Kluyveromyces lactis: one gene and its partners. The protein of the gene in region 1 interacts with the protein of each later gene in a biochemical or structural test. Links are inferred from orthologs where the notes say so. Each region holds a gene or a part of one and is shown in the gene's direction. Other genes may lie near its edges.

Region 1 (3,692 bases):
GAAAACCATCCTCTTCTCTTGCATTCTATCAAAGAATCTCATCACAATCTGCACCTGGCTAATCTGCAATAAGAATACAACAACTAAATCGATACCAGCAAATACCTTATCGCCCCAAAGAAGATTCAAAAACGATGTAGATGACACATAACCATTATAAGTATAATTCTCTGCAATATTCTTCCATACTCTAATGACAAATATGGAAAGGTTTAATGATGCCAACAACGCACCCAATTTCAAAATGTACGACGCCTTACGACTGGGTTTGGTAGGAACGTTGATGAAAACGATCACCGTTAGGAAAACAGTGATGATAAAGTTGGCAGTAACAGAATAAATGACAGAATAGATGCTGTATTTGAACGGTCCTGTATATCCATCGTTGTTGATATAACTATTCCAATCGAAAGCCACAATAGGAAGATACGGACACTCATCCTCTAACTCCACAAACGATGAATATAATGGCGTGCCGTCTTGACAATTACTTGTAAACACTAATGACTTGATATAGGCGAACTTATCGGGTAGTTTATTCCATATTAGCACACCTTCGTCTAATTGGACACCTTGACAACTTGAATAGTCCTCTGACGGGAAATGATATCTCCATCTGGAACGCCCTGTCATATTGATCTATAACAGTGAAATTAACTTCGATACTAAACACCATCCAACATCACACATCAGCAGCCGGTCTCCAGTACCACACAGATGAGCTAATGGGTTATTTAACTTATATTTCTCTCTCCGTTTTACTAATTTCCTTTCAAGTCTTCAATGCTCATCGCAGGTGTGGTTTTAAGTCTAAAAGTTCAAATATGAATGTGGAGTATAAAAGAAAGGCGTGACATACACTTGTAGTTACCATTACCATTAGAGTAAACCTACAAACAACCTCCACAGACTCACTATGTGGTACCAGACTCCAACACTGGGGGCGAACACATGTCCTAGGTGGTATAAACCACGAAATGTGTACTGAATGTTCTTTCACGTGACAATCACGTGAAAAAAGCATGACTGAAATTGATTTCTCGATCTGTTTTCATTACTGCTTAAAGGATTTCTGATCAAATGACTAGCAGGTTTGAAGCTCTCACACTCTACAACCAAAATTCAAGAGAGAGGCATAGGTCTTTCAAGGTGCTAAGGGACGTGTTTGGTTTTCATATCGGGCAGATAAATATCCAAAGTTGCAACATACCAAGATCTGAGACGCGTAGCTGAATTCAAAGCTCATCAAGGTAACTTTTTCCAGTTTGTTTTGGTGATTTTTTTTGTTTATAGAACATCACATGACTGTAAAACCGAAGGTGAAACTAGATGAATCAGGATCAAAATCAGGCAAATCGTATGTATAAAGGTCCAATACGTTTACACACGATGTTTTCGCCGAGTGTACCAGACCTGAATCGAAAATTCAGTGATTTGAATACTAGTGAACAGTCAATTGCTGTTAGTGACGGGGGAGTTGCGTTACGGAAGAATGTTGTTAGAAACAATTCTAACTCGGAACGTATATCTGGAAGCAAACGCCCCAAGAGCACGATATTAAGGGAGAACTCAGCTGGATTATCTCTGATAAATCTATACTACGATTTGGATGATGAGAACGAAGAAGAGATAGGTCAAGTTTCGATGAAGGGACATAAGATCAATCAGAATAACAGTGGATCATCAGAATTGGAGTTGAATGAGGGAGCGTTAACACTAGCAACCGAGGATAAGACCATTAATTTAGATGATAGTGGGTCATCAGATGCGTTGAATGGGATCGGTCAATTGCCCACGCCAGAATCGGAATCTCGTGCGAGTCAATTGCTTGGAAACTCGTCTCTGATAGAAGATGCAGCTTCAATCAAGGTGAAGGATTCACATTTGGATAGGTATGGATTCATGAAGCAGAACCAATATATCTCAGAGAAACAATATAACGAATGGTGGTCAGAGTACTCCAAGTACTGCATTCGAAGGAAACGGAAATGGAAAGACCTACTTTTAAAATCAGGTTTACCAGTAGATAATGATTCTCCAAGTCGATTCCCTTCAAAGTCGGAAAAGTTGAAGAGATACGTGCGAAAAGGTATACCAGCTGAATGGAGAGGTAATGCTTGGTGGTATTTTGCCCGCGGTCAAGAGCTTTTGAATAAAAACATTGGTGTTTATGATAAATTACTGACTAAGATCAATGATCCAAGCTTTACAAGTAAAGATACTGAGATTATAGAAAGAGATTTACATCGGACTTTCCCTGATAATATCCATTTCCAAAGATCCAAGGTCAGTTCCGAGGACCCACTAATTATAAAATCTTTAAGGAGGATCTTAAAGGCTTTCGCCATCTATAACGCTAAGATCGGTTATTGTCAATCGATGAATTTCTTAGTTGGTCTTTTACTATTATTCATGGATGAAGAACGTGCATTTTGGATGCTAGTAATAATGACATCTAGGTACTTACCAGGAGTGCATAGTATTAACCTGGAAGGTGTCAATATTAACCAAGGTGTGCTTTTACTATGCATAAAAGAGTATCTGCCACACTTTTGGCAAAGAATATATTCCAATAAAGATCAACAACACAGTCCCGGCCTATCCAATAAGAACGAATTTCTCTATAAGTTGCCACCAGTCACACTCTGTACTGCCAGTTGGTTCATGAGCTGTTTCATAGGAGTAGTACCTATTGAAGCTACCTTACGTATATGGGATTGTCTCTTCTATGAGGGTTCACACATTCTTTTCAAGATGTCGTTAGCGATCATCGAACTAAGCGAGACCAATTTACCAAAATTAAATCACGTTAGCAGCCGAAACTCAGACGATGAAGACATGGAATTATTCCAAGCTATTCAAACATACCCTAGACGGTTGATAAACCCCAACGATATTATAGACAAAGCCATCTTCAAGAGGAGATTGAGATTCAATGCACTCAATCAAGAGGAAATCGAACGATGTAAGAAGTACGTTATCTCTCAAAGAGCCAAATACAAGAACTTCCAAGATGTAATGAAGAATGAAACCACCAACTCCAATAATAAGAGAGACTCCAAATTGGCACAGGAACTGATCAATGAAACCTTTTCTAACGAAGGATACGGATTCAAGAAGGGTTTAAATGGGGTAAATTGGAATAATAACATCAAAGAAAGAGTACGTAGATTGAGCAGAAAGAGGTAATTCTCTCATCACCAATGGAAGAAAGAGCAGAAATATCTAAAAGTATAAAATCACTACATATATAACCGGGTTGTTTTGCATTATGGACCAACAAATGACATGTTCTATCTTTTACTTACTCAACTCCCAACCTTTCTGTAGCCTTCCAAGGGCCACTGAGGCCGTGCTAGCATCCAAGCTACTCTCTAAAACGGTTCTAATTTTATCCCAAGGCAAATCAATATCTGTTTGAGATGAAAGATCCAACTGTGGATCCTCCATATCGACATCCATCAACTCAAGTTCAGGTTCAGGTTCCTGCGCTGGTTTCGGCAAAGGTGCTGTTTCCACAGGTTTCTCTGCTTTGGAAACCATTGCGACAAGGGATATTTTATCCTGGTTCAAATCGGAGACCAATTGAGTGTCGTGGAGGACTTTACCCTTTAACAACAACTTGATTTGACCAGTTGTATATATCTCAGGCTCGGTTTCCACTAAGAATTCCTTGATCTGACCCACGGTAT
Region 2 (2,370 bases), on another chromosome or scaffold:
CGTGCTATTTTGGTAAAACAGTCTGACGATGGTGCTTGGACTGTAAAATCCTTAAGTACCGATCAGACTGGTGATAATGTACAAGAGGTCGAGAGAATCCAGAAGGAGCACCCTGATGAACCAAACTGTGTACGTCAGGGTAGAATACTAGGATCTCTCCAACCTTCAAGGGCTTTTGGTGACTACAGGTACAAAGTGAAAGAGATAAATGGGAAAACCGTTTATGATCTACCTGACCATTTGAAGATATATTTCAGGAGGGAACCTAAAGATTTCTTGACACCTCCTTACGTAACAGCAAAGCCGGAAATAACCACAACAAACGTGGACCCTAAAACTAAATTCATGGTTTTAGGATCTGATGGTCTTTTCGAGTTGTTGAGTAATGACGAAATCGCAGGTCTCGTTGTGAAATGGATGGAATCACATCCTATCAAAAAGAATTTCAAAATGTTGAAGGAACAATCTCCACAAGGTAAATTACCAAAGCTAGAAGACATCTCCCCAGACAAAGAAGCACAAAGGCCTGCTTTTAGGTACCAAAGCTCCAAAAAACCTGACTCTAAGAGCGAATATCTCATGCAAGACGAAAACGTAGCAACTCATCTAATCAGAAACGCTCTCAGTGGAGGCGGTAACAAAGAATACGTTTCTACATTGGTCAGTATACCTCCAACGAAGAGTAGACGTTACAGAGACGACTTGACTGTCACCGTTGTCTTTTTCGGTGAAGAAACTGAGGGCATTGATGGTAAATTAGAACTCAACCACAAAGCCACCAAACCAGAAGAATCTAAACTCTGAACCCGCAGTCTTAGCATAAAAGTGTTGTTATTTAGTTAAATAACCGTTTTTGACACTTATATAAACACACTGATTCGAAGGAAGGTTCACCAAGCACGTGACCTACTATCAACATTCAAAAGCCTTGTTTTCGTTATGGGAAAAGATACTAAAACTAAATAAAACTAAAAAAAGGATGAACGATGCTCCCTACTTTTATTGAAACGTAACGTTTACAACCGGAGTAGCAGATTGCTCTATCGGTAACAAGAGTGTACGAATTAGTTTTTGAGATTGTAGACAGACACATTTTCTTCTAAACAATCTCTCGAGCATACAGTCATCATATTAACCAACTTTCGAAGAAGAAATCTTGATTTACCTGGTCGTCATTGATATTAAGGTCATTTTCAGTTGTAAGGTACTAGGAAATGAATTCAAACGTTACGTCTATCAAGTTGGTACTCCTAGGAGAAGCTGCGGTGGGGAAATCTTCCATTGTTTTGCGCTTTGTGTCCAATGATTTTGCTGAGAATAAAGAACCCACTATTGGAGCAGCCTTTCTAACACAGCGAGTAAATATGGCTGACCACACAATAAAGTTTGAAATCTGGGATACTGCTGGTCAGGAAAGATTTGCATCGTTGGCCCCAATGTATTATAGAAATGCTCAAGCAGCTTTAGTGGTTTATGATGTAACAAAGCCGCAGTCATTTATCAAGGCTCGCCACTGGGTAAAAGAATTACACGAACAAGCGAGCAAAGGGATTGTAATCGCATTGGTTGGAAATAAGATGGATTTGTTGGAATCTGAAGAGGATAGGAAAGTAGCCAAAGAAGAGGCTGAAAAATTGTCACAGGAAGAGAACCTTTTATTCTTCGAGACTAGCGCTAAGACTGGTGATAACGTCAACGAAGTGTTCTTGGCCATTGGAGAGAAAATACCCTTAAAGAAGTCGGATGGGTCCAATACCGATGGGTTACGTGGAACAGAAGATGGAAGGATCGACTTGAACAAACCCGATGATACCTCGAATCCCAACTCATGTGGTTGTTAATACTCACGACCCTATCCTCTTTTTAGGGGAAATGGCCTAACGAAATGATTCATATTAACAATCGATGAAATTAATTTTAACCAGAGGAAAGGAGCCAATAGAACAAGATATCTACCGTGCCTATAATATTCCAATATCATCATAGTAGAAGTTTAAGATAACCAGTAATACATAAATCAGTTAGATTTACATTTTTTGTACCTACATTTTATTTCTATATATATTGGCGTAGTGAATTTTTCGGATCCCCGTATTGATCGATTATTCATGAATTCAATCATAGAGAACTCTATTCAGGTAATGAGATGTATGAATGATGATACATGCGTGATGAAACTCTAAAGGATTCAACCTGGGTTTTAAATTGTCATGGATGGCCAAGATGAGGAGAATGATGTGCTATTATTGGAGCGTACTGCTAGCTCGTTTTTTCGTTACAAGGAATTTGCGTTAGAAGAGTTCTGGCGACCCAGAATACTTAGGTGGGAATCACTGTCCGAGCATCAGAAACAAATGATACCATGGTATA
Region 3 (2,327 bases), on another chromosome or scaffold:
CATCAACTATGTTCTATTGGGCTGCTCATTTAATCAATACTGGTGCTAGAGTGTGTCTGGGTCCATTTGCTAAATGTTATTTGGCACCCTTCTTGATGAAGTTAGACAGAATGAGAGATGTTTGTAAAATGGTCAACATTAAGGTTTACAGTATTTACGTGGAACTTGCATACATTCCAATAAGCCGCACGTTGTTACCTGACATAATTTCGATCTTGGATGACACAGATTTGACTAGCTCTCATGAATTACGTGTGAATTTGACTTTAGCAGAGAAACTTTTCTCCACACAATCGTTGGTTATGGACCATGCTGGTAAAGTGAAGATCTTAGAGTTCGTTTTGGACAAATTGTTCTGTAAGAGTTTTGTAGAGGTTCGTCTCAAGGCTTCCTATGTCCTTGCCGGTATCGTGCATAACATATCTTATGATACCGATACTTTGCACACTCTCTTGGAAAACTTCAAGCGTCAACTTGGTTCATATACTTTCGAGGAGAAAGCTGCACTCTCCAAATCCAACACAGATATTCACGGTGCGATCTTGGGTCTCGGTGCCATCATCGAAGCATTCCCGTACGTTTCACCGTTACCAAATTGGATTCCAGAGAATATGGCACTACTAGCGTCCTGGGCAAGAACAAGCGGTATGTGCGGTGCTGATGCAAAGAACATCATCTCTAGATACAAGAAAGTTAGAGCAGATACCTGGCATTTGGACAGATACCAGTTCACCTCGGAGCAATTAGAAGATATGGAAGGTGTTCTTTGGAGGAGTTACTACGCCTGAGAAGTTGCACAATCGACACAGATGACCCACAAGCTGCGTATGCACATGAATATATATGTACATCTACAAGTATAAATCGTATAATTTAACTTGACATTGGGTATGCCTATCACCATATACGAATTCGATCAGTATCTAGATTTTGGACAAATATTGTTTGAAAGGGTGAAAGCAGGATAGCCATCACGAAAGGCACTAACCCAAACACTTTACGGCCGAGCTATTAAAACCCAGATTCTGTTGACCAGATATAACCAGCTCGCCACTCCTCCAATATATCGAGATAAAATAACAGTGTTGAACTGTGATATCAATTTTTTTCACTTAATTGAAGCGTGAAGGAAACAAGGGAGATTGAAACTATAATGTCTGGATTAAGAACGGTTTCTGCTAACGGCAGCACGAATAAAAACTATGATTCTGTCATGAAGATTTTACTTCTAGGTGATTCCGGTGTAGGTAAATCATGTCTTTTGGTTCGTTTTGTTGAAGATAAGTTCACACCAACTTTCATCACCACAATCGGTATCGATTTCAAGATTAAAACCGTAGACATCAATGGGAAACGTGTGAAGTTACAACTTTGGGATACTGCTGGCCAGGAACGGTTCAGAACCATCACAACCGCATACTACAGAGGTGCCATGGGTATTGTATTGATTTACGATGTTACTGACGAAAGAACTTTTGAAAACATCAGACAATGGTTCTCCACTGTTAACCAACATGCTAGCGAGGATGTAGTAATGCTGCTAGTCGGAAATAAAAAGGACATGGATACAAGAACCGTGTCTTACGAACAAGGTGAAGCTCTTGCTAAGGAGCTAGGGATCCCATTCATTGAAGCCAGTGCCAAAGACGACACCAACGTCAGCGAAATCTTCTTCACATTGGCCAAGTTGATCCAAGAAAAGATCGATGATGGTAAGATGGAAGGAAAGGCTGAAAAGGAGGGAAATGTAAGCATTCGTGGCTCAGGCTCTTCAGGCTCCAAGTCCAATTGCTGCTAAACCACAGATCAGAGCGTACAATAAGAAATAACAACCTATGCATTGGCTTTGTGTGTGTACATATATATATATATTCAAATGGTATGTATTAGAAAGTTCAAAGGTAACTTTACACGACCATTCCAAATCAGGTGATTTACACGTGACGTAAATAATCACATGACCATCTCCACGTGCCACTCAAGATCAATATAAAATTGCCCAACTTTCCCAATATAAGGGCATCGATGATTATATAAAGAGTGCATTAGAAGGAAATGCAAATAAAGAAACAGATATAAGGATGGACTTAAAGATTTTATTTAGCCAATAAACAGTTGGGTAGATTTCTATTTTCTTGTTCAGCTTCCTTGTATCTTGAATTGAGAAGTGTAATCCTGATCACCATCTTCAGCTTTATAACCAGGAAGGGTTGCTGTTTATTATAACCCTTATAATATTGTCAAAAGAGGGATTTGGTCTTTTTAAATTCAAGGCACAATGCTATTTGGTGTGAAGCTAGCTAATGATACTTATCCCCCATGGAGGG

Evidence for each region. The genes of interacting proteins can lie anywhere in the genome.
Region 2: of the proteins of MSB3 (region 1) and VPS21, one has a biochemical effect on the other in vitro, tested with the Saccharomyces cerevisiae proteins (3 studies listed by BioGRID, with this or other methods). The link is inferred for Kluyveromyces lactis from reciprocal best matches to the Saccharomyces cerevisiae genes MSB3 and VPS21.
Region 3: of the proteins of MSB3 (region 1) and SEC4, one has a biochemical effect on the other in vitro, tested with the Saccharomyces cerevisiae proteins (3 studies listed by BioGRID). The link is inferred for Kluyveromyces lactis from reciprocal best matches to the Saccharomyces cerevisiae genes MSB3 and SEC4.

Annotation. Positions count from the first base shown.
Region 1 is NC_006037.1:671,869-675,560, forward strand, and holds MSB3 (Rab GTPase-activating protein MSB3), read left to right. Parts: upstream 1-1,329; coding exon 1,330-3,189; downstream 3,190-3,692. Other genes in the region: RIM21 (Rim21p), read right to left, coding at 1-633; MDY2 (Mdy2p), read right to left, coding at 3,301-3,692. UniProt on the Saccharomyces cerevisiae protein: Regulates exocytosis by functioning as a GAP for SEC4. Stimulates specifically the GTPase activity of YPT6. Also required for efficient polarization of the actin patches.
Region 2 is NC_006039.1:1,172,115-1,174,484, forward strand, and holds VPS21 (Rab family GTPase VPS21), read left to right. Parts: upstream 1-1,214; coding exon 1,215-1,841; downstream 1,842-2,370. Other genes in the region: type 2C protein phosphatase PTC5, read left to right, coding at 1-804; KLLA0_C13750g (S-adenosylmethionine-dependent methyltransferase), read left to right, coding at 2,211-2,370.
Region 3 is NC_006041.1:1,074,146-1,076,472, forward strand, and holds SEC4 (Rab family GTPase SEC4), read left to right. Parts: upstream 1-1,153; coding exon 1,154-1,798; downstream 1,799-2,327. Other genes in the region: proteasome activator BLM10, read left to right, coding at 1-788; VTC2 (vacuolar transporter chaperone), read left to right, coding at 2,279-2,327. UniProt on the Saccharomyces cerevisiae protein: Involved in exocytosis. Maybe by regulating the binding and fusion of secretory vesicles with the cell surface. The GTP-bound form of SEC4 may interact with an effector, thereby stimulating its activity and leading to exocytotic fusion.